4 linked regions of the Pelodiscus sinensis genome follow. The protein of the gene in region 2 purifies or fractionates together with the protein of the main gene of each other region. This does not show direct contact. Links are inferred from orthologs where the notes say so. Each region holds a gene or a part of one and is shown on either strand. Other genes may lie near its edges. The genes, in order: MAPK14, PTPN5, MAPK3 and ATP5PO.

The links.
Region 1: the proteins of PTPN5 (region 2) and MAPK14 purify together in Homo sapiens (affinity purification with mass spectrometry; 3 studies listed by BioGRID and IntAct, with this or other methods). This does not show direct contact. The link is inferred for Pelodiscus sinensis from reciprocal best matches to the Homo sapiens genes PTPN5 and MAPK14.
Region 3: the proteins of PTPN5 (region 2) and MAPK3 purify together in Homo sapiens (affinity purification with mass spectrometry; 4 studies listed by BioGRID and IntAct, with this or other methods). This does not show direct contact. The link is inferred for Pelodiscus sinensis from reciprocal best matches to the Homo sapiens genes PTPN5 and MAPK3.
Region 4: the proteins of PTPN5 (region 2) and ATP5PO purify together in Homo sapiens (affinity purification with mass spectrometry; 3 studies listed by BioGRID and IntAct, with this or other methods). This does not show direct contact. The link is inferred for Pelodiscus sinensis from reciprocal best matches to the Homo sapiens genes PTPN5 and ATP5PO.

What each region holds. Positions count from the first base shown.
Region 1 is NC_134737.1:12,871,967-12,879,382, forward strand, and holds the start of MAPK14 (mitogen-activated protein kinase 14), read left to right. Parts: upstream 1-4,408; 5' UTR 4,409-4,889; coding exon 4,890-5,005; intron 5,006-7,416. Other genes in the region: SLC26A8 (testis anion transporter 1), read right to left, coding at 1,938-2,107. UniProt on the Homo sapiens protein: Serine/threonine kinase which acts as an essential component of the MAP kinase signal transduction pathway.
Region 2 is NC_134714.1:113,848,598-113,855,682, reverse strand, and holds the start of PTPN5 (tyrosine-protein phosphatase non-receptor type 5), read left to right. Parts: upstream 1-4,072; 5' UTR 4,073-4,188; intron 4,189-4,338; exon of another isoform or gene 4,339-4,454; intron 4,455-5,088; exon of another isoform or gene 5,089-5,369; intron 5,370-7,085. UniProt on the Homo sapiens protein: May regulate the activity of several effector molecules involved in synaptic plasticity and neuronal cell survival, including MAPKs, Src family kinases and NMDA receptors.
Region 3 is NW_027465967.1:94,772-102,155, forward strand, and holds the start of MAPK3 (mitogen-activated protein kinase 3), read right to left. Parts: upstream 3,001-7,384; 5' UTR 2,894-3,000; coding exon 2,739-2,893; intron 2,658-2,738; coding exon 2,475-2,657; intron 2,361-2,474; coding exon 2,171-2,360; intron 3-2,170; coding exon 1-2. Other genes in the region: CORO1A (coronin-1A), read left to right, coding at 6,246-6,443.
Region 4 is NC_134711.1:183,989,602-183,997,572, reverse strand, and holds the start of ATP5PO (ATP synthase peripheral stalk subunit OSCP, mitochondrial), read left to right. Parts: upstream 1-4,954; 5' UTR 4,955-5,140; coding exon 5,141-5,170; intron 5,171-5,469; coding exon 5,470-5,520; intron 5,521-7,971. UniProt on the Homo sapiens protein: Subunit OSCP, of the mitochondrial membrane ATP synthase complex (F(1)F(0) ATP synthase or Complex V) that produces ATP from ADP in the presence of a proton gradient across the membrane which is generated by electron transport complexes of the respiratory chain.

The sequences.
Region 1 (7,416 bases), on a different chromosome or scaffold from region 2:
TCCTGTACTATGTTCTGTAATATGGGAATGGCAGACTAATGGATGTCAGACTTAATGTTCTTAAGAATGTAAGTACAGCCATACTAGGATTAGACTAATGGTCCAGGTTAGGGATGTAATAGTGTAGTCGATTAACCGATTAATCAATAAGCACAAGCTTACAGATTAATGCTATAGACTACACGCATTTCCCTCTCCCATTCCCTTGCAAGTAAATATTTTAGCAGGCTGGCCAGCAGCCCAGCTCAGTCCTGGCTCACGCCGGGTCCGGGACCTAACCCTCCTGTGGCTCTTCATTTAAAGTATATTACGAGTCAGGCAGCCCAACTTAGTTCTGGCTTGTGCTGTGTCCAGGCGCTCCGACCCCCCTAGATAGGGTCTGCTGCTACCCCAAGCTGCTGTGGACCAGTTCCTGCCTGGCACCTCGTGCTGCTGCCTCTGATACAGAGGTTGCCAGCCCCGCCAGCAAGGGGACTATTGACTAGTTGACTACCCGATAAGAATTCATGAGGTTACTCGACTATTCAATTAACCGATATTTAACATCCCTAGTCCATGTAAACCTAATACCTTGTCCTCTAACAGTAATCAGTGCTAGATGCTTTGGAAGGAGTGAACAGAACCAAGTAGGTCTGCTGTCGAGTGGTGGTGGTGGCAGCAAAGGGCAACTGCTCTCAGGCCCAGTGATTCAAAAGAGCCTGGGACTTCCAGCCACCGCTGCCACAGCAGCATCCAGAGCCCTGGACGCTTTAAATCGCCACTGGAGCGCCCAGGTGGCATATAAGTCCGGAATGGGAAGAACAGGCTGGGGTTATATTAACTGATACTGAATGTGCATACTCACCTTACCCATCCTAGCAGGAATATCACAGTGCAGCAACACAGCTACAGAGTAAGGCAGAAGGAAGGTAGTACAAGTTCTGCCATACTCTTAGGAAATCTTATCTCTAGTCGGGAACTGAACGTGGTACTTGAGAGAATTTAAACAAAATAGCAAACACAATTGCCAGAAAAAAACCAGTGTAACTTTTTGTCTGTGGCTGCCAGCTAGGATTGAAGGAAGGTGCAGAGGAGTCTGAAACAATTAGCAGAATCCATCCACACTATGCAGAGGTACTCCATTATCACAACGGTGAAATGAACAGACTATTGTGGTTTGTTGGAAGCGACTCTCCCAGTGCTGTGGTAAGCTTGACTCACATGGCCTTAGACGTGGGTGACCCCCTGCACACTATCATTTGGGGTAGGGGTGAGGAACCTTTTTTGGGTCGGGGGCTGGTGACCTACAGAAAATTTAGTGGGTGAAAAGTGCAAATCTCCACCCAACTCTCACTGACATGGCCCCCAAATGAGAAGCAGAAAGACACTCCCCACATCCTCCTCACACGCCAGAGCCTAAGGGGGGTCCAGGCTAGTAGATTTTGTGTGCTCAAGCCCTGTGGTGAGGTGGTAGGGATGGGGGGGGGGAGGCAGGGGTAGAGTGCTAGTGTGGTCACCCCAGTGCTGGGGGCAGGAAGGGAGTCATGAGCCAAGGGGGCTGGATTCATACAATCTGGGGGCTGCATCCTGCCCCCAGGTTCCCCACCCCTGATTTGTGGGCACTAAATCTTCCATTCAGAAGTCACATATCCTTGTTTGGTGTATGTGTTTTTCTCAACACTTTTGCTTGATGACTTTTGTTTTGTTTTGCTTGGTTGTTTGGAGGGCCACAAAAACATTTTCCATCTTGGGTGGCAAACACATACAGCAGTCTCTGCTTAGCTGCTCCAAACACAGAGCACTGGTTTGGCACTTTGATTCGGTTTGTATCAGTCCCCTCTGTGTTTTTGTACTGAGCTGTGGGCAGCAGGAGGGTCAGTAGTTGCGTTTAGATTGGTACCTGACCAGGCTCCTCAGCTTCTTCATATCTGCTAAATAATTCCTGGCATATTACTCACCGGCAGTGTACCCTTCGTTGGACTCGGGGGAATATGAAGTCCCTGTTCCTTAGGGAGGGTGTGTTTCTCTCATAGTTCTTTTGAAAGTGCTCCTCAGTGTATATGCCTCTCTTGATTTTGTACTTCCCTAGCTGCCTGGGAGCACTGACAGTCTCAGCATCTGGCTCCATGCAGTCACCCTGATCATGGACAGTCAAAAACACAGGAATAATGAAGGCAAGAGGAAGGAATCAAAGCCACTGACATTACCCATGACACTGAAGATAAAAAGGAGGGTCATTGAACTGGAGTGTCCCATTGAAAAGAAATGTTTAAATGACTAAGCCCAGGGAAAAATCCATCTCTGATGTAACTCCATCTGAGAAGGGTGCTGAAACAATTTGTACAAGGGGGGGGGGGTTCTTCTGAGAGCCATTGAACCACACTGTGACGCCTGTAATGGCCACCACTTCAAACCTGGCGGTGCAGCATCACCAGCACTTGTGCACCCACGCCGCGGGTGTCATGCCAGGGCAGTGTGGCCGGGAGGTCCTCTGTCCACGGAGCAATGGTGGCATAAGTGGCAGTGGTGTTAGCTCCCCCTCTGCTGTTGCAGCCCCCAGGGCCACTTCATTGGGGGTCACAGGACTCCTGTCCACAGATCCCTGTGGCCGGGCAGCTCTACAAAGGGACTGGGGGGCACTGACCCCGGCTCCCTGCCGGCCCCCCCCACTGGCCCGGCCCTGGGCGGGGACAAACTCCGCGCATGCTGCCGGGAACAGGGGACCCCCGCGCTCACCTGCGGCAGCCTGAGCTTCGAGACACGCGGGGCCGCCGGGCCTGGCCAACTGCCAACCCCGGGGCGGGGCGCGCGGTGCTCGGGATACTCCCCCCGCTCCTCCGCGGCGGCCAGACCCCCCCCCCATGGAGCGCCCGGCTCCGCTCCCCCCAGCGCCACGGGGAGCCCGGTCTGACCCCCCCCTCGGGGCTGTGCACTGGGTAGCGGGATGAATGGACACGTACCCGCTGCACGCCGCGGCGCGTAACGCACCAACCAGCCACCCCCCAGCCGGTGTTTTAATGCCCCCTCGCAACGCAGGTCGTGGGTGTCGGCTGCACCCCCCCCCCCTTTTCCAAGCCGCGGGGTGACTGCGGGGCCCAGCCACCCGGGGAAACGTGCACGAGAGAAACACAGGAACGGGGACTGCACCCCCCCCCCCCCCCCCGCGTCCAACCAAGGGGGCGCTGCGCTCAGCCGCTGCGGGGCCGTCCAGGGAGGCGCGTCCGTCTGGGGCAACAGCGCCTCTAAGCGTCCTCCCCGCCTGCCCAGGGAAATCCAGCGGGGTCCAGGCGAGGCCCCCGCCCGTGACCGGCAGCCTGGCCCCGTGACAGTCCCCCCGCTGGTGCCTGACTGAGCGCGGGCCTGTTCTCAGCACAGGCCGAAGCCCCACGGACTTGAACAGGGGCCTGCAGCCCAGCCCGTAGCAAGGTGCGGGCGTGAGAACTGCCCCCCCCCCCCCCAAGGCAGGGGCACAGTGCCCAGAAGGGGACACGGCAGACACACTGGGGCAGTGGCAGTGCCCCCCCAGGCAGAAGCAGGGGCACAGTGCCCCCCCCAAGGCAGGGGCGGGCGGGAGGCGGCAGACACACTGGGGCAGGGGCAGTACCCCCCCCAGGCAGAGGCAGGGGCGGGGACGTGTCCCCCCCCAGGCAGAGGCAGAGTACCCCCCCCCCGGCAGAGACAGGGGCACAGTGCCCAGAAGGGGACACAGCAGACACACTGGGGCAGTGGCAGTGCCCCCCCCCAGGCAGAGACAAGGGCACAGTGCCCCCCCAGGCAGAGGCAGGGGCACAGTGCCCCCCCCAGGCAGAGGCACAGTGCCCCCCCCAGGCAGGGGCACAGTGCCCCCCCCAGGCAGGGGCACAGTGCCCCCCCCAGGCAGGGGCACAGTGCCCCCCCCAGGCAGAGGCACAGTGCCCCCCCCAGGCAGGGGCAGAGTGCCCCCCCAGGCAGGGGCAGGGGCACAGTGCCCCCCCCCCCAGGCAGGGGCAGGGGCAGAGTGCCCCCCCAGGCAGGGGCAGGGGCAGAGTGCCCCCCCCGGCAGAGGCAGGGGCACAGTGCCCCCCCCGGCAGAGGCAGAGGCACAGTGCCCCCCCCGGCAGAGGCAGGGGCACAGTGCCCCCCCCAGCAGAGGCGGGCGGGAGGGGACGCGGCAGACACACTGGGGCAGGGGCGGGCACTGGCTCTGCACGGCCGCGGGGACGTGGCCAGCCGCCAGGGCTGGGCAGCCAGGCCGGGCCCCGCGCCAGCGTCCTCCCCTGCGGCCAGGCCGCGCGGCTCTGCCTCGCTCCGCCCCCCGCCGGGTCGCGGGTCGCTCTCGCGAGACAGGAGCGCCCGGCCGCTGGTTCCATATTGGGTCATAGCCGCTCTTCGCGCCTAGGCTCTCGCGAGGCGGGGCCAGGGGAGGGGGCGCGATCGATTGGTCTGCGCTCCGGGAGGAGCAGGCGGCGCCGCCTGACGCAGCCTGGGCAGTGCCACTGGGCCGGGAGGGGGAGGTCACTCCGGCATCGCCCGCGTCGCCTGCCCTGGTCTGTTTGTGAGAGGAGTCCCCCCCCCCCCCCCGCCACCAACTCACATCTGGTGCCTTTAAGGACCCCCCCCCTTTCCTCCCGTCCACGCGCTGTCCCGCCCCGTGGGGTGACAGCGCCGCGGGGCGCGTGAGGAGAATCCCAGCCCAGCTAGCGCGAGACAGCCCCGGGCGCCGCTGCACGAGACACCCCCCGGCCCGGGGCGCGCGGAGGCTGCCAACGGGGCCCGGCCCGGGCCGTGCTGAGGGAGCTCGGAGCGGGGGGGGGGAGGGGAGGTGCAGACCTGTCCCCTCTCTAGGGGGCAGGGGAGGAGGCGTCCCTGCTGGGGCCGCTGGCGGAGTCCCCCCTCCCGCCTGGCCGGGCGGGGCGGGCCGCGGAGCCGCGATGACTCTGGAGCGGCCCAAGTTCTACCGGCAGGAGCTGAACAAGACGGTCTGGGAGGTGCCCGAGCGCTACCAGAACCTGTCCCCGGTGGGCTCCGGGGCCTACGGCTCCGTCTGGTGAGTGTGTGGGGGGGTGTCTGCCAGCCTGAGCTGCACCCCTTCCTCAGCGGGCTCCGCTCTCGGCCTGGGGGGGTAGGGAGTCTGGCCTGGCTTCTCCCCCGCTCCTGCATGCCGGCGGGCGGTGCACGTGCAGGGCGCTGAATGAGTTGAAGGGGAGCTGGGGGGGACCCCCTCAGCTCGGGGGGGGACCCCCTCAGCTCGGGGGGGGACCCCCTCAGCTCGCTGGGGTTCATTCCCCGCCTTCTGCCCCCGGTCTGATTGAATCGGCCTTGCCCACGGGGGATTTTCATCCCTGGGTTAGTGGAGAAACCGCTGCAGAACTAGTGTCTGGCTGGTGCTGTGCCCCAGATGGCACCGCATGACAGGGGCTGGTAAACGCAATTTCAGAGTCTTGTCTAATATTCCCTCTAGTCTTTTCTGTTCATGGACCATTTTTTCTAACCATGAGCTGAATAAATTTGTATGTGAACCAAGACATGTAGAAGTGGTGAGGGAGCTCGGAGGCGGCCCGAGGTCCCCTGAGGGGAGGTGCAGACCTGTCCCCTCTCTAGGTCCCTAAGTCCCCATCACATCATTGGAAACAAAACCTAGCTGTAAGCACTGTGAATCAGCTCATTGGCATTGAATCTCTTTAGTACAGTTTACAGGGAACACTCCTCTTGTCCCCCTTTTCCTCCAGGATATTAATGCACAAACTTTCCTCCTCCCCCACTTGAGTTACTGAAAGGTGGAGTGTGCCAAATCCCTGCAATTTGCTTTGTAGAACAGGATGACAGTTTCATCTTGGAGCTGCAGAACAAGTTGCATTTGGGGTAACTTTAAAGAGTGATTGGTTGTTATGTGACAATGAGATGGTGGAAAAGGTTGTGAGGTTCTCTTTTTTGCCTTGCCAGCAGTGCTTTTACAGGTAACAATTGGGCATGGGAGGTTAACAGAGGGGAAATTTTGTGGTCTTTCCTGATTGAGAAAATTAGGCATTAGTCCTGCTGTCAGATCTGTGAAAGCGTGGACATAACCCCAAAGAAAAATATTCTGGTCTTTAATCCTTAGTTAAACTAATACAGATAAGATGTGTATAACCAATACACACAAGACGTGTATCTATAGTTTGAATTGCTTGTAATTACAGCAGCATAATCAAAGATGCTGAGCTCCCATGGTATATCAAGTATTTTTGCTCATTTGCTAATGCAACAGTACTTATTAGTTTTGTTCTTCAATAATATAAAAAAAGAAATGAGTTGATCTACTTGACTATCCTCAGTGGTGTTGTCAAATCACAGTGATGCATGAAAGCTTTTTTAGGTGGCTTTACCGTTTTTTAAAAGATACATTAATGCTGTATGAACACATATAGTGTCTAAAGTTTTTCACCCACTATGTCAAACCCCGATAAAGATTTTGTAATAGTGCTTCCACACAATGGTCTCCTAATTTGTGATGTGAGCATGCATTAATGAAGTTATATGCAATTTGTAAATTTATACCTATAGTGCAGGGCTCACAATAAATATGAATGAAGAAAAGTAATTGCTATGTATATATTGTAGCTTTAAAAAAACCTGTCAGATGTTTGCTTTTAAAAAAGGCTGATTATATTCTACAATATTGTTCCATTTAAATAAGATCTATTAAAACTGCTTTGTTTGTAGTAAAGTATATTAAGCATTTGTCTTTTATACTTTGTATAAAGGTTAAACAGGTTCTAGCAGCATGAATAATTGGTATGACAGCTGACTAACCGAATGCATTCCCCCTAAATTTTTGGTATAGAAATGCTAAGTGTAATTGTAGTACAGGCAGTCCCCGGGTTACATGGATCCGACTTACATCGGATCCCTACTTACAAATGGGGTGAGGCAACCCCGCACTAGCTGCTTCCCCCCCAGCAGACCAGGGAGACGCGAAGCTAGCCCCGCCCCCCCAGCAGATCAGGGAGATGCGGAGCGGCTTTTCTCAGCAGACACCTCAGCTTGAGAATAAAGGATTGAGGGAAGTGAGGTGTGGGAGAATAAAACTGAGCTCTGGAGAAATGTTTGGCTAGAGTTTCCCCTACAATATGTACCAGTTCCGACTTACATACAAATTCAACTTAAGAACAAACCTACAGTCCCTATCTTGTACGTAACCCGGGGACTGCCTGTACTGTACTAAGATAAGAGCTTGACCTTGCTGGTTGATGATTATTTCCTGAGATGATGAGTTGAGGGTGCTCAGTGCCTTGCAGCAGGGTCAACACTAGAAATATAATGAGCAAGATCTCCTCCTACTTCCAAACCCCCATTGTGCTTTCAAAAAAAAAATGCTTGCATTACTTAAAAATATTTCCTTCCATTACCCATATAACATAAGGATTTGCATCATTAACTTCCTGTTTCAGAGTGTCGGAACCTTCAGAGATTGTGCAA
Region 2 (7,085 bases):
GTGGAGCTAATTTGATTTATACCAGCTTTGAATCTGCTTCTGCATGACTACAGGGAAGAATCAGATTACACACCACCAAGTGCAGCTACCTCTGGGGTGCAACGTGCAAACAATATTCAACAACATTACCTGAGAGTTTAGAAAAAGTACTGTATTCAATTTAAACTGTAGGAGAGATATAGGTAAATAATAGTACTAGTGTTTCCATTCAAGAATTCCAAATAAGTATTACTAATATATAAAAATGCTAAATTTTAATTCAAGGATACTTTACAAATATTACCTATACCTCAGGGGCCAAATCGTTGGCTGAGGTAAATTAGTGTAGCTTCCTTGAGTTCAGTAGACTGCACCAAGTGAAGATGGGTACATAACTCATGTCGCCTTCCCACTCCTGCTAGTTATTAACACACACATGTTCACAGTCATGCTGGAAAGACATAAAAAGTGGGATGCTACAGGGGTCTGTTTTGGGACCCATTCTGTTCAATATCTTCATCAGTGATGCAGAGAGTACACTTATTAAGGCTACATCTACATTGCTCCTCTCTTGCAGAAAAGCCTATGCAAATGAAGCATAGATTAGCATATTGCCACTCTTTGTTTGCATAATTAATTAGGGTGTGTTTTTGCGCAAGAGGTTTTGTGCAAAAAGGAGCCGTGTAGACATTTTTCGAAGAACGCCTCTTGCGCAAGAAGGGGTTTTTGTTCAAAAAGGAGCAGTCTAGACAGCGCCTTTTTGTGCAAAAGCTTCTTGCACAAAAACGGTCCCTAATTAATTATGCAAAGGAAGCGTGGCAATATGCTAATCCACACTTTATTTGCATAGGTTTTTGCCCAAGAGAATTTCAGTGTAGATATAGCCCAAGTTTGCAGATGATACCAAGTTTGGAGGGATTGCAAGTACTTCAGAGGATAGGGTCATAATTCAGAATGATGTGGACAAACTGGAGAAATGGTCTGAGGTAAATAGGATGAAGTTAAATAAGGACAAATGCAAAGTACTCCATTTAGGAAGGAACAATCAGTTTCACACTTTCAGAATGAGAAGTGACTGTCTAGAAGGAGTTCCGCAGAAAGGGATCTAGAGGTAACAGTGGACCGGAAGCTAAATATTAGTCAGAAGTGTTTAGGTTTAGGTTGGACATTAGGAAAAGCTTCCTAACTGTCAGGGTGGTTAAACACTGGAATAAATTGTCTAGGGAGGTTGTGGAATCTCCATCTCTGGAGATATTTATGATCAAGTTGAATAGACATCTACCAGGGATGAGCTAGATCAGGGTGGACAATAATTTTTAATGGGGGGTCACTCCAAAAATTTGGAAAGTGGTTGAGGGCCACACTCTTCCATGATATCAATGGAGAAGGTGCAGGGATCTAGGATGGAATCTGGGTGCAGAAGGGAGCTTGGGGTAAGGCAGGGAGTTTGGGTGAATGAGGCAATTGTGACCTGGGACACTGGATTGGGATGCGGGGTGTTGGATTGTGACCTAGGGCAGGGAATTGGGGTACAGGAGGGGATGTAGGGATTTGGGTTGTAGGGCAGGAAGGGACTGTGATAGATTAGGGTGCCAGATCTGTGAGGGGATGTGGGTGCAGGAGGAGGCAAAGGATTTGAGTATGTGCAGTAAGGGACAGGAGTGGGGGGCAGAGGGCTAGAGAAGGGTGTGGCTGGGATGCCAGAGGCAGGGTGTGGCCAGGAGACTTACCAGCCAGCAGCTTGTTCCTGAATCAGCCTTCCTGCCAGCCAGTGTTCCCTCTAAGCTGGCTGGCAGCACAGCTTCACTGATGATTAACCAGCCCCTCCACTCCAAGTCAGCTCCATGCAGGGAGCCCTGAACCTCTGACTGAGTGGGGCTGATTAATCACCTGTGAAGCTGTGCTGCCTGGACACTGCTGCATGCTCCGCCCCTGCCCAGGCTGCAGCCATGTGCTTTGGAGCCCCTTGTGCTTCATGACTGCCTGTTATTGAAACAGGCAGCTCCCACTGGCCAGTTTCTGGACAGAAACCGGACAATTGGGTTGTGCTGGAGGGTTGGAGCAGCTCCTGAATCTTTCCCCTCTCCCCTCTGGACTCACAGTTTTTAAAGAAAAAACATCCTGCAGCTGCGTTACTGAGCAGCGTGCAGGTAGTGTCCGGATATGGTGGCTTGGCAGGCCGGACCCAGCCCACAGGCCGTATTTTGCCCAGGGCTGATCTAGATGGTGCTTGTCCTGCTGTGAGGGCAGGGGACTGGACTTGATGATCTCTCGAGGTCCCTTCTGGTTCTAGTGTTCTATGATTCTAAGACACAGCCCCCAACATCTCTAAGCTTTAAGTAAATAAGTGACGTGCCTGGGTCAGAACCCCTCACTGTGAATGCCAAATCTTTGGGGGAAGTTTTAATCTGTAAGTGTATCTTTAGCAAGCATGGTTCTATCCTTTTCACAAATGGCTGAATGGAGGAATACAGTAGTTAAGTGACTGTTCAGGGTCACAAAACAAGTAAACATCAAAGATGCAGAAAGAACCCCATCCTCATGCTCCCCCTTCCCGCCCACCCCCACCCCCTTTCCTGCTGTAACTTCTAGATAAGATTTTCAGATCAGATATTTTGGACCAGATCCTTAGCTGGCATAAAATGATGTAGCTCCATTGAAGCTGAGCAGATTTACATCTGAGGAAGGTCTGGTCCTGTGTGTCTATCTTAGACTTGTATCCTGCTATAGGTACCACATTGGTGGAGGGCTGCGCTATGCAGAACCCCATAGACATCAGTGAGGCTCACGACATAGAAGCCCACCAACTCCCTCATTTGCAGAACAGGGGCCTTAATGTGTAATGTTTCTCTCTGTTCCTGAGAGTGTGTGGACCTGTAAGCTTTGTGTGTGATTTGTGCCTAATGGTTGTGAATGTCTGTCTCCCTCTGTGTTTGTATCTCCCTCTCTCTCTCTCTGCCAGTAATGTATGCATGTCTCCCTTTGTGTGTGAGCATAATTTACGTCCGGTGTCTTTATATTATCCACATTTGTTTCTCTCTGTGTAACACTCTGTGTTGTGGTGTTATGTGCGCATTTGTCTGTGCCTGTGGCCTGTGGGTGTGCTGAACCAGGACACACTACTGCAGTAGAGGCTGTTGCTGCTGGAAGGGGGGGGGGGGGCGCTCCAGATGCTCTTGCTCCCTGGGGGCTGGAGTCTTTTTCTCTCTGGCCGCCCCCTGCTCCTGGGCGCTTCTGCACTCGGAATATTTCATTCATGCTTTCTCCTTCGCCATCGCGCTCCGATTCAGGGAAAACGTGTGTGTGGGCGGCCTTTGAAAGGCTCCCTGTCAATCAGGGCAGCGAGCTGAAAAGAAAGCGAGCGAGCGAGATGGGGAGAACGCGGCTTTCATGGGGGTGGTGGGCGGCTGTTGTTGCTGCTGCGCCAGCCTTGCAGCTCTTCCCAGGGGCATCTGCACAGACAGGGGGAGTCAGTCCTGCACCACACACCTGCTCTGTGGGGATCGCCTCCCCCATCTCTGGCTGTGAAACCATCTCAAACAATGAAGGGGGGAAACTTCCCTGCAGCAGAGGTTCTGCCTAGCTAGCCCCCAGGGTCCAGCCATGACTGAGCTGCCTTTGCCTTCCATGGGGCCGGAGGGGGGGAGGTTAGCAGCAGGCAGGCGGGGTTGGGGAGCTTGGCGCTGGGTGCTTTGCAGCCTTGGGATGCAGAGTCAGGAGGCGCGGGGCGCTTGGCAGTATGGAGAGGGGCTGCTGTGTGGAAGGAGGCTTCCCCATGGGGAACCGCGCTGAAGGGGTAGGGGCGGCTGGAGAGTCTTCGCAGGGTGTAACGGGAGCTACGGAGCCTTGCCCGGTGGCGGGGAGGATGCTTCGTGCCCGTGTAGTGGGGCTTTATACTGTGGAGGGGGTGTGACGCGGCTCAGGGGCTGGGGAAGTTTTGCATGGGGTGGCGTGTGGGGGGGGGGGGAGCGTTGCAGCTTCCAGGGGAACGAGACAGCAGCGTTTGCGGGCTGTGCAGGCTCGGGGGTTGCAATGGGGGGTGGAGCTCTGCCGTGTGCTAGGGGGACTGGCCGCGCGCGGCAGGGTGGGGGGCTTCGCCGCCTGCATGGAGCCGGAGGGGGGAGGGGGCTGCGCGCGGTGTGTGCAGGACACACACACATGCCCTCGCGTCGCCTTCCCGCTCCCTGCTGGGCTGCGCTCTCCTGCGGCGTGAGTGGGGCTCTTTGTGCGCCCGGAGCGGGGCCGGGGAGGCGGGGGGGGGGGGGGGAAAGGGGGCTGTGGCGCGCCGGGGCTGGGGGGCAGCATGCACTGCAGCGGCAGCGCTGCGGGGAGCCCTGGGGAAAGGAGGCGTGGGGAGGGGGGGAAGTAAGGCGAGAAGAGGCTGGTTGTGCAGCGCGGCGGCGGCTCCCGGGAGCTAGGGGACCAGCTTGCGCTGCACGGCTGGAGCGAGGGGCAAGATCGTGCTGCACTGGCTGGTTCGTGCGCGTTCGTCCGGGCTCTGTGTGTGTCTGTGTGTGTGTGTGCGCTGCACTGGATGCCTTCCCCCCCGCCGCGTCCCAGCTCCATCTCGCCCTGCTGGCTGCTCCGCCTGCTGCTGCTGCACGCTGAGCGATGCACCAGCAGCCTCAGCACCGGGCAGGGCTAGGGACCTGGAAGGGGGGAAAGGGGTTGCTTCACCTTGGAGGGCGAGCAGCCGCGAAATAAATCCCCATTGATGTTCAATAGGGTCTGTTTTTTGCGGGGGGGCGGGGGGGAGCCCAGGATGCAGGGCAGCAGCTCCGATTTCCCTGCATCTGGCTGTAAATTTGCAAGGACCATTAAAGGCGGACGGATGGATTCCGAGTGATCGATAAAACCCATTTTCTGCATCTCTGTTTACCTCCCTAGGCACCAATACTTAGGGGAGTGCGGACCACCCCTCCCCCCCGCTTTTCGTCCAGCCTTTTCCAGCTGCGAACTGGAGCTGGGGTTTTCTGGCGTATGTGTAGGGGGAGGGAATTGTTTTCAATAGAAAAAAATCAAAAGTAACGCGTTAAAAATACAAATCCAACCCAGGACGTCTAGTTGTTGAACGGGTCTTGCAGGCTAAACATAATGCAGCTGGCGGGACCCAGGGTTGGGGGAAAATGGGTTTCGAATCACATCCTGGGTGGTTAACCTGATAACTACTCACTGCAGTAAAATATTAACCACGGCAACAGCTTTGCGATGCTCTCCTGGAATAATGCTGCCTTGCGAACTGATGTGACAGTGAACGCCATGGTCGACTGTCACTTTCTTCTAGAAGGCAGTGCTGAGAGCAGGCTAGGAGAGGCACTGAAGTTCTGGGAAGCTGGGGACTGGAAGTTCTGGGAAGCTGTGCAGTTGCAGGTCTGCTTGGTGGATTGCTGGTAAGGGTTTTTGAGGGCACAAAGCAGAGGGTGGAACAGAACAGTGAGTGTAGCCAGTTTATTGGCTTGTTTACAGTTAAACAGTTTTAAAAACGTGGTGATTTTTCATACGGTCATCACAATGGAATAGGTCTTTCTGTAAAGGGGTAATTGTTACATCACAATTGGGAAAGAAGACTAAATCAGTATTTTAGATCTCTTGCATTACACAGTTATTACTACATTAAATTCCTTACATTGATTTTAGTAGAGCGATTCCGATTGACAGCACCTGGAGGATCTGGGCCCTTTGCATGTTTTAGATTAATCTATGACAGATTTCAAAGTAATGCCTGAGCAATATCCTCTCTTTGTGTCATGATAGCCATGTGTACTTAGGGCAGCATTTGTTGGCTCCACTCAGATCAAACAGTTTAAGAACTTTACTTCTTGAATGAATCATATACATTAACAATTAGATTCAGATCGCTAATACAGAGCTCTCATAGACTTCAGTAGGCAGGGTATTCATCACTCAAGGCAAAATTTTGTCCTTTGATATTTTAATCCAACATAAACCTCTACACTTGTTTTCTGACATCCAATTATGAATGCAGAGATGAGCAGACAGTATAACACTTTTAAAGATAATTGTATCGAAACATTGGGTTTAAAAGATTTATAGTAGAGTCACTTCCACTTAATGCCTCAGGGGTCTTATGTTCTAGTTGCAATCAGTGGGCATTTTGCCATTGACTTACTTGGGAGCGGAATGGGAACCCACGAACCGGGTGTTTTAAACACATATATACAAGATGACTCCCACAATCAAGCATTTGGACCCTAAATGTGTGACTTTGTTTTGCTAAAATGAATTAGGAGGAGTTCTCTTTCACAGTACTGATCTTTGGTAGAGACCCACTGTCCAGGCGGAGTATAGCATTACTGCCAGTAATTTGAGGTCTGAACCTGTAAAGAACATTCATTACAAGTTACAATGAGATCTGCCAGCTAGATGTCATACAGATGAAGCAAGAATGTTTAATAGCATTTAAACTGTGACCACATACATCGATGGAACACTGTTAAACTAAAATGAGACAGAAAATGCCTTTTTCCATCTAACTAAAATAAAGCCAAATCCTTTGCTAAAATGTCACGGGTGTATTTATATGCCACTTTTTTTAGCCCAGGCCCTGATATTTCCATGAGACAAGGGCCATTTTGCTGTGTAGAATTTTAAAAAATGCAAAGAAATAAAAGGAAGCCCATCTCCATGTTTCTTAACTTTGCAGTGTGCTAGAGCTCAGTTGATTGGTTGAAAAAAGGAGGGTTAAGCGGTAGCCATGGGAGGACATGTCTACACTAGGAAATTATTTCAAAATAATTTATTTTGAAATAATAACTCCTGAAATAACTATTTCAAAATAGCATGTCCACACTACAGGGAAGCCTCAAAATTAGTCTGAGGCAGACTCCCTTAATGTGGACATGCTACCTCAACTTAGAGCCCCAAGAAGCACTTTAGGGAGTCATTACTTTGAATGACTTTGGGGAGTAGTTATTTTAAAATAGCAGCAGAGTGTCCATGCTACTGCTATTTCAAAATAGCTGTTTTGAAATAAACGTTTTTCCTCGTGGAAAGCAGGAGTTATTACTTCGAAGTAACCAGACCCTTATTTTGAAATAACGGGCTTGGTAGTAGTAGTGTAGACCAGGGCAGAGAGACCCCTGGAG
Region 3 (7,384 bases), on a different chromosome or scaffold from region 2:
ATCTGCAGCGGGGAGGAAGGTTAGCTGAGCTGCCCGCCCCCCTGGAGCCCAGGGAACGCAGCAGTGGAGGCAGAGACACAGGGAGGTGTGAAGGGGGATCGGTGGGGGTGGGGCGCAGTGCGGGGGTGTGCGTGCAGCAGGGCTGAGGGCTGGTTGGGGACGGGGTGGGGTGTGACCGAGGGCTGGATGGGGTCAGAGGCATGGTCATGACTGAGGGCTGGTTGGGGGTGTGCAGCCGGGGGCGGGGCCTATGGCTGGTTGGGGGTGGGACACGCCACCAGGGGCGGGGTGGGAGCTGAGAGGGGCGGGGCCGAGGGCGGGCCCACCTTGAGGTCGCACGTGGTGTTTGATGAGCAGGTTGCTGGGCTTGAGGTCGCGGTGCAGCACGTTGGACTGGCCGGGGGCGGGGCGGAGGGGGCAGGGCCGAGGGGCGGGGCTGGGGCGGGCCCACCTTGAGGTCGCACGTGGTGTTGATGAGCAGGTTGCTGGGCTTGAGGTCACGGTGCAGCACGTTGGACTGGCTGGGGGCGGGGCGGAGGGGGCGGGGCCGGGGCGGGGCGGGCGGGGGCCACCTTGAGGTCGCACGTGGTGTTGATGAGCAGGTTGCTGGGCTTGAGGTCGCGGTGCAGCACGTTGGACTGGCCGGGGGCGGGGAGGGGCGGGGCGGAGGGGGCGGGGCGGGCCCACCTTGAGGTCGCACGGTGGTGTTGATGAGCAGGTTGCTGGGCTTGAGGTCGCGGTGCAGCACGTTGGACTGGCCGGGGGCGGGGCGGAGGGGGCAGGGCCGAGGGGCGGGGCCGGGGCGGGCCCACCTTGAGGTCGCACGTGGTGTTGATGAGCAGGTTGCTGGGCTTGAGGTCACGGTGCAGCACGTTGGACTGGCCGGGGGGCGGGGCGGAGGGGGCGGGGCCGAGGGGCGGGGCCGGGGCGGGGCCACCTTGAGGTCGCACGTGGTGTTGATGAGCAGGTTGCTGGGCTTGAGGTCACGGTGCAGCACGTTGGACTGGCCGGGGGCGGGGCGGGGCCGAGGGGGCGGGGCCGAGGCGGGCCCACCTTGAGGTCGCACGTGGTGTTGATGAGCAGGTTGCTGGGCTTGAGGTCGCGGTGCAGCACGTTGGACTGGCCGGGGGCGGGGGCCGAGGGGCGGGGGCGGGGCCGAGGGGCGGGGCGGGCCCACCTTGAGGTCGCACGTGGTGTTGATGAGCAGGTTGCTGGGCTTGAGGTCGCGGTGCAGCACGTTGGACTGGCCGGGGGCGGGGCGGAGGGGGCGGGGCCGAGGGGCGGGGGCGGGGGCGGGGCGGGCCCACCTTGAGGTCGCACGTGGTGTTGATGAGCAGGTTGCTGGGCTTGAGGTCGCGGTGCAGCACGTTGGACTGGCCGGGGGCGGGGCGGAGGGGGCAGGGCCGAGGGGCGGGGCCGGGGCGGGCCCACCTTGAGGTCGCACGTGGTGTTGATGAGCAGGTTGCTGGGCTTGAGGTCACGGTGCAGCACGTTGGACTGGCCGGGGGCGGGGCGGAGGGGGCGGGGCCGAGGGGCGGGGCCGGGGCGGGCCCACCTTGAGGTCGCACGTGGTGTTGATGAGCAGGTTGCTGGGCTTGAGGTCGCGGTGCAGCACGTTGGACTGGCCGGGGGCGGGGCGGGGGCGGGGCGGGGGCGGGGCCGAGGGGCGGGGCGGGCCCACCTTGAGGTCGCACGTGGTGTTGATGAGCAGGTTGCTGGGCTTGAGGTCGCGGTGCAGCACGTTGGACTGGCCGGGGGCGGGGCCGAGGGGCGGGGCCGGGGCGGGCCCACCTTGAGGTCGCACGTGGTGTTGATGAGCAGGTTGCTGGGCTTGAGGTCGCGGTGCAGCACGTTGGACTGGCCGGGGGCGGGGAGGGGCGGGGCGGAGGGGCGGGGCCGAGGGGCGGGGCGGGCCCACCTTGAGGTCGCACGTGGTGTTGATGAGCAGGTTGCTGGGCTTGAGGTCGCGGTGCAGCACGTTGGACTGGCCGGGGGCGGGGCCGAGGGGGCGGGGGCGGGGGCGGGGCGGGCCCACCTTGAGGTCGCACGTGGTGTTGATGAGCAGGTTGCTGGGCTTGAGGTCGCGGTGCAGCACGTTGGACTGGCCGGGGGCGGGGCGGGGCCGAGGGGGCGGGGGCGGGGCGGGGCCGAGGGGGCGGGGCGGGCCCACCTTGAGGTCGCACGTGGTGTTGATGAGCAGGTTGCTGGGCTTGAGGTCGCGGTGCAGCACGTTGGCCGAGTGGATGTACTTGAGGCCGCGCAGGATCTGGTACAGGAAGTAGCAGATGTGGTCGTTGCTCAGCTGCTGCGTCTTCAGCAGCTTGTACAGGTCGGTCTCCATCAGGTCCTGCACGATGTAGCTGGGGGCGGGGTCAAGGGGCACAACGGCCGCGGGGCGGGGCGCGCGCGGGGGGCGGGGCGCGCGGGCGCGCGCAGGGGCCGGCGCGGGCGCGCGCAGGGGCGGGGCAGGATACACGTCGCGCATGTGCTCGATGGCGGCGGCGCGCAGCACGTCGTTGATGCCGATGATGTTCTCGTGGCGGAAGCGCAGCAGGATCTTGATCTCGCGCAGCGTGCGCTGGCAGTACGTCTGGTGCTCGAACGGGCTGATCTTCTTGATGGCCGCGCGCGCCTTGCTCACGTGGTCGTAGGCGGAGCTGCGGGGACGGGAGGGGCGGGGTTAGCGCCGCGCCCCGCAGCCCCGGGGGGGGGGGCCCGGGCGGCGGGGGGGCGCTCACCAGACCATGCCGTACGCCCCCTCCCCGATGTACTGCAGGTCCGTGTAGCGCGGCCCCACGTCGAACACCTGCCCCTTCACCGACTCCACCCCCAGCTTGGGCGCCCCCGGCACCGGCCCGGGCCCCCCCGGGGCCGCCGCTGTCGCCGCCGCCATGGCCGCTGCGCTCCGATCCCGCTGCCGCAGCCGCACCCGGAACCGCCCCGCCCGACGGCTCTGCGCAGGCGCACGGGCTGCCCGACGGCCCGCGTCACGTCGCCGCCATCCGCTACGCGCCCGGATTGGAGCGCTGCTTCTGACGTCATCGAAAGGCGGAAGTGCTGTGCCCTGTCATTCGCTTCTGCCGCTTTAGGCCCCGCCCCCAGACCCAGTCTACGGTACTAGGCCACGCCCTCGCTCGAGGAGCTCCTCTCCGACCACGCCCACTGTTCCACCTGGCCACGCCCCTGCCCACGCCGGCACCTTGCCGGGTGTTCCCCGGCCCCCCCCCCCAGCCTCAGGGCCCCCCGGGTCTGATTCCCCGGCCCCTCCCCCCCCCCCCAGCCTCAGGGCCCCCCGGGTCTGATTCCCCGGCCCCTCCCCCCCCCCAGCCTCAGGGCCCCCCGGGTCTGATTCCCCGGCCCCTCCCCCCCCCCAGCCTCAGGCCCCCCGGGTCTGATTCCCCGGCCCCTCCCCCCCCCGCAGCCTCAGGGCCCCCCGGGTCTGATTCCCCGGCCCCTCCCCCCCCCCCAGCCTCAGGGCCCCCCGGGTCTGATTCCCCGGCCCCTCCCCCCCCAGCCTCAAGGCCCCCCGGGTCTGATTCCCCGGCCCCTCCCCCCCCCCCAGCCTCAGGGCCCCCGGGTCTGATTCCCCGGCCCCCCCCCCAGCCTCAGGGCCCCCCGGGTCTGATTCCCCGGCCCCTCCCCCCCCCAGCCTCAGGGCCCCCCGGGTTTGATTCCCCGGCCCCTCCCCCCCCAGCCTCAAGGCCCCCCGGGTCTGATTCCCCGGCCCCTCCCCCCCCCCCAGCCTCAGGGCCCCCCGGGTCTGATTTCCCAACACCCCCCAGCCTCAGCCCCGGGGCTGGTGGGGGGTAGTTAGGGGTCCCAAGCAGGGCATGGGGGACAGGTGGGGGGGTGCAAGGGGATGCTGGTGAGGGGTAGTTAGGGGTCCCAGGCAGGGCATGGGGGACAGGTGGGGGGGTGGAAGGGGATGCTGGTGAGGGGTAGTTAGGGGTCCGAGGCAGGGCATGGGGGACAGGTGGGGGGGTGGAAGGGGATGCTGGTGAGGGGTAGTTAGGGGTCCGAGGCAGGGCATGGGGGACAGGTGGGGGGGTGGAAGGGGATGCTGGTGACGGGTAGTTAGGGGTCCCAGGCAGGGCATGGGGGACAGGTGGGGGGGTGGAAGGGGATGCTGGTGAGGGGTAGTTAGGGGTCCGAGGCAGGGCATGGGGGACAGGTGGGGGGGTGGAAGGGGATGCTGGTGAGGGGTAGTTAGGGGTCCCAGGCAGGGCATGGGGGACAGATGGGGGGGTGCAAGGGAATGCTGGTGAGGGGTAGTTAGGGGTCCCAGGCAGGGCATGGGGGACAGGTGGGGGGGTGGAAGGGGATGCTGGTGAGGGGGAGTTAGGGGTCCCAGGCAGGGCATGGGGGACAGGTGGGGGGGGTGCAAGGGAATGCTGGTGAGGGGTAGTTAGGGGTCCCAGGCAGGGCATGGGGCACAGGTGGGGGGGTGGAAGGGGATGCTGGTGAGGGGTAGTTAGGGGTCCCAGGCAGGGCATGGGGGACAGGTGGGGGGGTGGAAGGGGATGCTGGTGGGGGGTAGTTAGGGGTCCCAGGCAGGGCATGGGGGACAGGTGGGGGGGTGGAAGGGGATGCTGGTGAGGGGTAGTTAGGGGTCCCAGGCAGGGCATGGGGGACTGGTGGGGGGGTGGAAGGGGATGCTGGTGGGGGGTAGTTAGGGGTCCCAGGCAGGGCATGGGGGACTGGTGGGGGGGTGGAAGGGGATGCTGGTGGGGGGTAGTTAGGGGTCCCAGGCAGGGCATGGGGGACAGGTGGGGGGGTGGAAGGGGATGCTGGTGGGGGGTAGTTAGGGGTCCCAGGCAGGGCATGGGGGACTGGTGGGGGGTAGTTAGGGGTCCCAGGCAGGGCATGGGGGACTGGTGGGGGGGTGGAAGGGGATGCTGGTGGGGGGTAGTTAGGGGTCCCAGGCAGGGCATGGGGGACTGGTGGGGGGGTAAGGGGATGCTGGGGGGACACGTGGGGGTGTAAGGGGGTGGAGGTGGGAGGGTGTATCTAGGTGAGCCGAGACAGGGCATGGGGAGATGGGTGTGTGTAAGGGGATGCAGGTGGGGGGGAGCTAAATGGGCCCAAGCAGGGCACGGGGGGACAGGCGGGGGGTGGGGTCCCTGTGCCCAGGCTCATACCCCTCTGCCACTGGCAGCGGATTCCCGCCCAGCCCCTGGCTGGGAAGTGGGAGGGAGTGTCCTGGCCCCTCCCCCCCCAGGCTGTGCTATCCCTGGGAGGCCCCACCCCCACCCTTAAAAGGTGCTGGTTTCAGCCTCCAGATTCACTGTCACACCAGAGTGCCTGGAACTGGTGAGAGCAGAGGCAGTGGGGTCTGATGGTTAGAGCGGGGGGGGGGGGGGGAGCCAGGACTCCTGGGTTCTTGCCCTGGGCAGGGCAGTGGGATCTGATGGTTAGAGCGGGGCGGGGGGGAGCCAGGACTCCTGGGTTCTGGCCCTGGGCAGGGCAGTGGGATCTGATGGTTAGAGCGGGGCGGGGGGGAGCCAGGACTCCTGGGTTCTGGCCCTGGGCAGGGCAGTGGGGTCTGATGGTTAGAGCGGGGGGGGGGAGGGGGAAGCCAGGCTCCTGGGTTCTTGCTCTGGCCGGTGGGTGGGAGGGAGGGAGGTCCTGGGCCCTCTCGGCTGACCCTTCCCGTCTCTGCAGAGTGATGCTGCTACACCCAGTTACCTACAGGTAGAGCCAGGGCAGCAGCCAGGCAGAGGGTGGTGGGGCAGGAGCAAGGGATAGCGGCAGGGTGGGAGAGAGGGGCAATGGCCGGGCTGGAGTGAGGGGCAGCGACGGGGTGGCAGGGCAGCTGGGCTGGAGTGAGGGGCAGAGTGGTGGCGGGGCTGGAGTGAGGGGCAGCGGCCGGGCAGGGGGATGGGGGGGGTGGGAGCGAGGGGCGGCGGCCGGGCAGGGGGCGGCGGGCGCGAGGGGCGGTGGCCGGGCAGGGGGCGGCGGCCGGGCAGGCGGCGGCGGCGGGCGCGAGGGGCGGCGGCCGGGCAGGCGACGGCGGGCGCGAGGGGCGGCGGCCGGGCAGGGGGCGGCGGCCGGGCAGGCGACGGCGGGGCGCGAGGGGCGGCGGCCGGGCAGGGGGCGGCGGCGGGCGCGAGGGGCGGCGGCCGGGCAGGCGGCGGCGGGCGCGAGGGGCGGCGGCCGGGCAGGCGGCGGCGGGCGCGAGGGGCGGCGGCCGGGCAGGCGGCGGCGGGCGCGAGGGCAGCACTAACGGCGCGTCTCCCCCAGCCGCCATGAGCCGGCAGGTGGTGCGCAGCAGCAAGTTCCGCCACGTCTTCGGGCAGCCGGCGAAGGCCGACCAGTCCTACGACGACGTGCGCGTCTCGCAGACCACCTGGGACAGCGGCTTCTGCACCGTCAACCCCAAGTTCCTGGCCATTGTCGTGGAGGCCAGTGGGGGAGGGGCCTTCATGGTGCTGCCCCTGGCTAAGGTAACCCCGCCCCCATCCCTGCTAGTGACCCCCTCCCCCCTCTGCCGGCCCAGCCCTGCCGGGGCCCCTCGCCAGCCCCGCCCTGCGCTTCTTAGGTAACTGTCTGCCCCCCCCTTTCTGTTTCCGGGGGGGGGGGGGGGGGCTGTTTTGTGAAACCGCCGAACATGCAGATCTTGACATTTTTGCCTTAAATGGCTCCAAACGTGAAGCGGGGGCGGAAGCAGCCGTGTAAAAGGGGAAGTGGGTTTGCGGGGAGGGGGCAGGTCTGGGACACCACAGCCCAGCCCCCCGTCCTGGTTCTCGGAGCCGTGGCAGCCACACCTGGGTCACCGTAGCCAGGAGCCCCAGAAATGGAGCAGGGGCGGGGGCGCCGGGGGAATAAAGGTCTGTGGTGCAGCTACAAAGGGCCCTGTGTCCTTCCCTGGCCCGGGGGGAGGCCGGGGCAGGATGCGGCTTTGGAGGGACCCTCGGCTCCCAGAACGCGGCACCTTGTGACTTCCATCGTGATGGGAAAGACGGGAGCAGAGCGCCTCAGCCCCTCCCCCTCCGTCCCACTCCCCACACCCGCCCCCCAGCCCCTGCCGGTCCAGCTCTGCCCCCAGCGCCCCCCACTGCAGCCCCTGCCCCCCCAGTGCCCCCCAGTGCCCCCTTTGCACAATGCCCGGGTAAGGTTGTCATGGGACTGCTGGGTTCGTGGGCCCAACTTTCCCCGTGGCAGGACCATGGGACGAGGCGGGAGGGGCGTGAGGGGAGAGCCAGGCCTGAGGCTGGTGCCCAGGAGGGCTGAGGCAGGCCCGGCCCCCGCCCTGCTGCCAGACTGCCCTGCTCTCAGGTTGGCTGCCCACTGGGGGGAGGGGCTCATGTCGCCTGCTGTGGGCACTGCAGGGGCACGGGAGCTGGGTTGCTTGTCACAGCCTGGCCCTGCCCCAGGCCCCAGGCCC
Region 4 (7,971 bases), on a different chromosome or scaffold from region 2:
CAATAAGTCCATGAGCAGAGTAAACACTAATGTGTTTCCTCAACCAATCAGAATCTAGTTTCTATTTAAAAAAAAAATGAAAACACAGAAAAAAAAATACGGGAATAGGGATTGGAAAAATTATACAAGAATAAACCTGCAAAAATATGCTATGCCAGAGCAAGTAGCAGTAGAGATCATTCTGGCACTCTGTGCCACAAACATTCATTAAACTCATTGTTACAAATTCAAGGCCTCATTGTGTAGCAATAAAGATGGATTATGATAAACAACTGACTCAGAGATTTATTACTGCTTTTTAAGGAAGTGAATAAGACTATATGTCATTTATATGCAGTCTGCACTAAGAACATTCCTAAGGCATTGACAACAGAAAGGATGTAAAAAAAAAAATTTCAGATATATAGATAGAATGCAAAATTCATTTTTATGCTTTTCAAGATGGTATCCAGATTTGACCCCTTTGTGGCAAAGCAGATATTGCTCAACCTAGTTAGGACAGAATAATATGAGGACATTAACATTCAGATATTAAAATATTGCAAGAGAACCCAGTTAAATCTTTACACTGAATGCAAAGACATTATACTTAGCACTTTAAGTTTCAAATTTGTATTTACATTTAAGTTTAATATTTGAGGATTTTGCTTCCCTAATTTACATACCCAATTTGTGATGTCTTTTATCATCCCTGGCCAATAATAGTGTGAGATCAGCAGAATTCTCATGTTAACTACTCTTTGATGTCTGCTCTGTAGACTATCATGATACTGTTCAAGAAGTCATAAGGGTTGTTTCATGGTGTGTACAACTGCAACCTTTATTCCTTCTGCAGAATGGCAGAATGTCTCCTCTGCTAATCAGAGATTAAGCTTTGCACTTTAAAAAAATCAGATATTTTCAAAGACATATAATATAAGAGATATCTGGATATAGTATGGATTATCAAGGCTTGAATATAAAGGAATTTCACTATGTGGTTAAAATTACATGTTGAAATTTATTTAATACTAGAACTCATTACTCAGTGAACGTATATGGGTTGTTACCGTTTGTGGTTACACTGGATAACATACTTAAGAAATACAAAGTTAAAGGATTTTTTTGTTAATATTTATAATTTATGTTCATTTCCATGTAACTGACAAATACATTTGTTACATTGCTTCCATATGTAGCTAACGAGATTTTCTAAGAAGTTTGAAGAAAGACAGTGATCCTAATCATAGCCCCATTGAAAGTAAGGTTAACACTTCAAATAATCCCAGCGTTGGGAAGGCAGGGATCAGGATCGTCACCTATATGCTGAAAATTCCATTGTATTCTGTTTCTTTATTATATGAAAAAAATATTGCTTGCCTTTTAAAGAAAAGTTGGCAGAAAATAGACATAAGTTAAACCTACCCATTTTAATTGTTCCTTTAAGATGTGTTACTTCTCTTATACGTCAAAACCTCTGCAATTTTCACCTGAAAAGATTTCCCCGAGTATTGTTCACAGAAGAAAACATTTCACACAGTTAACATTTACAAAATAGCAAACATGTAGTATCTAGCCATATAATAAGACTTTATTTTGTAAGTATGATGTGTAAATTGCAGACACAAGCAGGGTAAGCCAAACTCAAAAATGCAGCATTCCAAGGCCAATCATAAGAGTGATGGATGTAAATTTGTGCTATGTGCATAAAGTTAGATCACCTTTAAGATTTTAGCCAATTAAAGTCTTAATAGCTCAAGACATGAAATATAACAGCACAAAAATATGAATTTCCAAAAAAAATTGGTTAGCAGGCATCTGGTTTTCAACTACAAAACCCAGTCAAAAAGAGACTGGCAGCTCTGGCTGGCACTGCCAAACAGGAGGTTAAAAGTTCAACTGGCAACGCAGAGAGAGCCTGGGGCTAAGGCAGGCTCCCTACTCGCCCTTGCTCCACATCAGGGCTGGCCTTACCATGAGGCGAACTGAAGCAGACACCTCAGGTGCCAGACTGGAGGATAGGGGGCACCACTAGGATAGAAAATTGTGTCTGCTGCTGGTGCATATGTAGGTAGCAGAGCAGTCCCATGAGAGGAATAGAACAGGAAGAAGGCACAACTGAGACCTTTCAAAGTTTTGGCCCAAGCGAGGGGGCATGGGGGCATCATTTGAGCTCCCTGCCTCAGGTGCCACATGGCCCTGCTCCACATGGAAACAGAAAGCATTTCCCTCCAGCTCTTAGGGGAAGATTTGGTGACCATTTGTCCCGTTTTTAACAGGACAGTACCTTATTTAAGCTGTTTTGCTGGTGTCCTGACTTTAAAAAAAGCGGGAGGGGGGCAATTATCCTGTGTTTCTGCTCCCCCTGCTGGTCAATGTGCAGCAGAGGCCTCCTGTTTGTAGCTGGCAGATGATTGCAGGCAGGCGGTGGCCAGCAGATGGTGCTCTCAGGCAGGGTGCAGAGGCAGAAAGACAGGAAACCAGTAGGAGAGCCAGCCCCCTTTTCTCACACAACTATTAGTATTAACTATTTATAACAAAAAAAATCCATTCTACCTTGTTTTTAGTTGAGAAACTTCTAACTGACCATAGTAACCTAGTGTTGCAAGTTTCCAGAGTGCAATCTATATTCACTTCTTCCTTATCAGTGCAGCTGTCATTTTGGCAAGTTCAGGAATGTAGCCTTGCGCATTCAAAGGTTCTGCAGACACTGCTGATCATCCCAAACCTGTATTACAACCCAATCTCACCAGCTGGAATTTGTTTCTCAGGCCCAGAACCATTACTCCACCATCTGCAGCTGCTCTGTGAATGCCACCACCAAGTGTGAATTGATCGTTGCTATGTCCCACAGCAATCTCTCCTGCATGGAATCATCTCCCTCAATGTCTATTCTCCAGACTCAGTAAATACTGCAGGATTACACAGCTTGCAATGCTCATGCCAATAGTGCAGAGTTATGCAGGTTCTATGCTTCTACCAGAGGTGACAGACAGTGAGGACGGCCATGCAGGTTTGTGGAATTTAGGGAAAATGGTGCAAAAATGATGTATAATGTTACATATGGACAATGTATGAAATTAGGGCATGGTGAACACTGCATTATGGGAAGCTGATCTCTTGATCCTAGTCACCCCAGTGCAACCCATTTTGGTCCCAGTACAGGTTGCCAAAACTTCCCAAAAATACAGTGCTGGATGGTGGCAAGTTGCACAGTGAGCTATCTATGCTGCTCCATGTTCTGAATCAATATAAGTGGTTCTGGTGAGTACACTCACCACTGACACAAAAAGTTAATAATGGCACATGCCACCGTGACATATTAATTGTGGCAATTCTATGCTGATGTAACTTTTGTTAACATAAGTTTGCTGCATAGATATGGCCTTTGTTATACGCAATGTTTGGAAGTAGCAACAGGAAAAGTATGCAATGGGTTTCAAGAGTCATTCAGGTGTTCAAGTTCCTGCTTTTGTGGAGCTGGCCCTAAAGGTTTTGGAACAAAGAGGCATAATAGAACACAATATAATTTATTTTGTTAAAAATTTAATTACATGAAGGTATATATCTCATGATTTTGTAATTCTTGTGGTTGTCAAGCTATGTCAAGGTTGTAGCTCTGTGCTTATGTTGTGAAGGCCAAAACTATAACTGGGTTCAAAAATAATTAGATAAGTTCCTCAGGATAGGTCCATTAGTGGCTATTAGCCAAGATGAGCAGGGATGCAATTCCTCTCTAGGTGCCCCTAAACCTTTGACTGACAGATGCTGAAAGTGGATGAGAGGGGTTGAATCACTTGACTGCCTATTGTAGTCCTTCTTTGGAAGCACATTGGAAGACAAGATATTGGGCTAGGAGAATTAGTTTAACCAGATAAAGTCAACCTTTTGTTCAGCAAAAATTAAAATAGGTTTTTGCCTTTGAGAATGATTTAATATGATAGTATACTGTCCCTTACTGACTATTTGAGAATGAAGTTTTACACACAAGAAATGAGATGCAAAAAAGCATTGAGGGCTGGAGTGAGGCAAAATAGCAGTTGCAAAAGGCAATTCTCTTTAATGGATCAAATGAAAACAAAGTTTTGACACCAGGCTAGGCAATCTATCCGACTGGCAGCTACAATGATCCATCCGAATAAACTTGTGCTATCAAAACAAGAAGTGAAAAGCAAAAATTCCAAAATAAAAATCACAATAAAATATATAGTAAAGCTATTCTAGAAACACGGCTGTCATTGCTAAAGCCACTAGCAACTATTTACTTGTAAGTACTTTCAATGAATATTTACTATGCACATAGGCATCCACTCTGCAGTTGCACCTGGAGGATCCAAGGGGGAAAAGAAGAACTGGCGCTTACGAGTAGCTGCGGGTGCTTTGCAGAGAGCTGCTCTCTTGTAAGTCTGTGCTACCGGTAGCAGTTTCTGATCCGGCCGCCAGCTGTTCTGCAGCTTGCAGGGGCGGGGCAGGGGCTGGAAGAGGCGGGGGCGCTGGGGAAGGGGTGCAGCGCAAGGAGCGGCGCGGAGGCAGCAGAAGCCGGGTGGCCGCGCTGAGAGCAGCACGCGGCGCGGGTGGCAGGCAGCGCGAGGCAAAGGCGCCCCGCTGCGCAGCCAAGCGATTGTTAGCAGGGGCGGCAGCGGGGCAGCGATTTGCCTCCCTGCAGAACTGACGCGCATGGGCACAGCAGGGCCAATGGTTAGCCAGCGGGGCCCTGCGCCCCGCCCCGTAGCGCCTGCCCCGGGCGTAACTCCTCCCCCTCCCACCACTTCGCTCCTCCGCCCCGCCCCGCCCTCTGCTGTACAGCGCAGGCGGCAGAACCCGACCCTAAGTAAGGGCGGGGCAAGAGCAGCGGTTTTGGGATTGTTACCGCGCATGCTCAGTCGAACCCAAACGGCACCACATTCTTTCTACGCCTGACGTAGGTAGTGTGGGGACGTCTCGGGGCTTCCGTACCCGGCTCATAGCCCCGCAGCGTGGGCTCTTTCCGCCTGGCGGCTCACGTCACGTTCTCCGCGCCGCCCGCTGATGAACTACAATTCCCAGGAGTGAGCGGGGCTGCAAGACTCGCTCTCCCAGCGTGCCCCGCAGCGGAGTGTGCGCATGCGTCCTGGCCGCTACCGAGCCAGGGCCCCGCTTTGACCTACAGTAGCAGGAGACGATGGCGGCGGCCGCGGGGCTCCCGGGGAAGGTGACCGGCAGCGCCGCCCCCGCATCCGGGCTCGCGGGGAGGAACAGGGCCTGCCCCCCCCCCCCCCCCAGTCCAACGGTTCCTCGGCGGCCGTTGTCGCCCCCCCACCCGCGAGCCAGGCTCGGGCTCCTGGCTTCGGCGGGACGTGGGGGAGGCGGGTTCGCTCGGGCTCGCCAGGCGGCCCCGGGGGGTGGCGCGTGGCCCAAGCGCGGGCGGGAACCCGGGGTCGCACGCGCCGGGCCTCGGGCCTTTCCCTCCGGAGTCGCCTAACTCGAGTTTTCCGTCTCGCCCTCCTCCAGCTGCGCTTCTTCAGCACCGCCCTCGCCCGGCCCGCCGCGCCGCTCGTCAAGGTGCGTCCGCTCGCTCCCCCGCCCGGCCCCTTCCCCCGCCCCGAGCTTCGCTGCCCCGGGGCGCGAGTGCGGCAGCGCCGCTGGCTGGGGACAGGCAAGTGCCGCTGTGCGCGCCTAGGGGGACTGCCAAGAGCGTCTGTGCCGCCCGCACCTGAAAGGCGGCACCGGCTTCAATGGGGACGCCTGGCGTGGAACAGACTTAAACCCCTGGAGTGCCCTGGAATAGCAAGTAAAATGCAGGACTATGTAGCACTTTAAAGACTAACAAGATGGTTTATTAGATGATGAGCTTTCGTGGGCCAGACCCACTTGCTCAGATCAAAATGGAATAGCAACGCTGCTTAACTGAGCTGCCTATAAGTTATGTTAACGCAGCTTATGGTTAAGCTGGTTATTTTTGGTTGAGTTTCTCTTGTAATTCTGAGATGTGAAAAAATGAAGTATCATATTGCTGCCAGCTTTTGACTCTTCCGTGTTGTTCCTTTCTGGTATCACCCCTTGACAGAGTAGGTGAATGACGGGGTAGAACCCTTTTTTCAGTACATGCCTCCTAACCCCATACTGTCTGTTGAGTACTAGGAGGGATTTTCTGTGTGTCTGTACCTTCCAGTGTAGCAGCAGCAGCAGAAATGCTTTCTATCAAAAACGGAATTCCTTTTACCAGGGCTTCCTGTTTAAAGTGATTTGAGTGACCACTCTGCTGCAATCCTTCTGGCATTCTAACTAATTGAAACTGTTTTAACTGTGTGAAGTTAAGCTTGATGATTCTACCAAAGAACTGTTCAGAAAACTGAGTTAAATAGTGTATTTACTGGGGTCAAGATTTTCAAGTGATTAGTAACTTTGGGTGACCAGCATAACATTAATAAAGGACCCAGCATCAAGGATGGAAGAGGGGCTGCTAGGAAGGTAATATAAGATAGGGACAAAGAGCAGCCTGAGCCACCTGTTTGCGTGGTGCTGAGACTTTCTAAGTTTGAGGGCTCTGAGAACTGCCTTTGCTGTATTGATATGGGCTTTCTGTTTTACACTAGTGACTGAGTATCAGAGGAGTAGCTGTGTTAGTCTGATCTGCAAAAGCGGCGAGGAGTCCTGTGGCACCTTATAGACTAACTGAAGTGTAGGAGCATAAGCTTTCGTGGGCAAAGACCCACTTCGTCTGCATCTGACAAAGTGGGTCTTTGCCCACGAAAGCTTATGCTCCAACACTTCAGTTAGTCTATAAGGTGCCACAGGATTCCTCTCCACTAGTGACTGAGACTCGATTAGTCACTACCTTCTCCCCCCCCTCACCTCCACCAGAGGCAGCAAGTAGAGGTGGAGCAGGAGCAGGAGCTGGTGCTGGGGGAAGCCGGCTTAAAATCCAGTTGCCCCTAGCGCTGTCTCTGGGGGGCAGGGGAAGCAGAGGCACAGCGGGGGAAACAGTGCTAGTGGGATTTAAGCAGTCCCCGCTCATGGCTGCTATTTCCACTGCAGCGTTTCAACACTGTTGGGCTCTTGCTACATTTCAAAGGCTGAAGTGCCACAGTGGGATCATGGGGTGAGTGGGAACTGCTTGAGCCCCCCACTTGCCCGGTGCTCCCTGCGGTGCGCCCCCCTCCCCCCCCCCCCGGAATACAAGCCAGTGCTAGGGGGAACCAACTTAAAAGTTGAATCCTCCCAACAGTGTCTCCGGGGTGTTCTCACATCTTCTCTCCCCCCCCCCCCCCAATCAGAGGCAGCGGGGGGGGGGGGAGGAATATGGGGGCCCCTGTCTGTTGGAGCAGCCTCTGTTCAAAGCAGCCAGGACTAGTTGTGGGCAGGAGCTACTAGATTCCACACAAGCTGGGACCAAGTAGTCCCAGCTGGCATGGTTGCTGTGCCTCTACATTTTAAATGTAAGACCCCAGGGGCTCTTACTACAGTAAACTTCTGATAATATGGCACCTTTAGGACCCAGGAGGTGCCGGATTATCAGATTTGCCGGACTATCGTAAGGGGGGGGCTATGAGGAGTCTGGGGTGGGGGGATGCCACCCCAGGCCCCTCATAGCCCCCCCCTTACGATAGTCCGGCTCTGTCCCAGGCGTCCCTGATTCAGCTGCTGCTGGTCAGTTTCAGCAGCGGCTGAATCGGGACACCTGCAGCAGAGCAGCTGGAGTGCTGCCGGGTTGGTCCGGTAGTGCCGATCCTTGGCACGGCGAGACCAACCCGGCAGCCCCCCAGCTGCTCTGCCCCAGGTGTCGTGATTCTGCCGCTGCTGAAACTGACCAGTGGCTGACTCCGGGAAGCCTGAGGCAGAGTTGCTGTGCCCCAGGCTTCCTGGAATCAGCCCCTGATCAGTTTCAGCAGCGGCTGACTTGGGTACACCTAGGACAGAGCAGCTAGGGCACTGCTGGATTAGTCTGGTAGCACCAACCCTTGGCACTGCGAGACCAACCCAGCAGCACTCCAGCTGCTCTGTCCCAGGTGT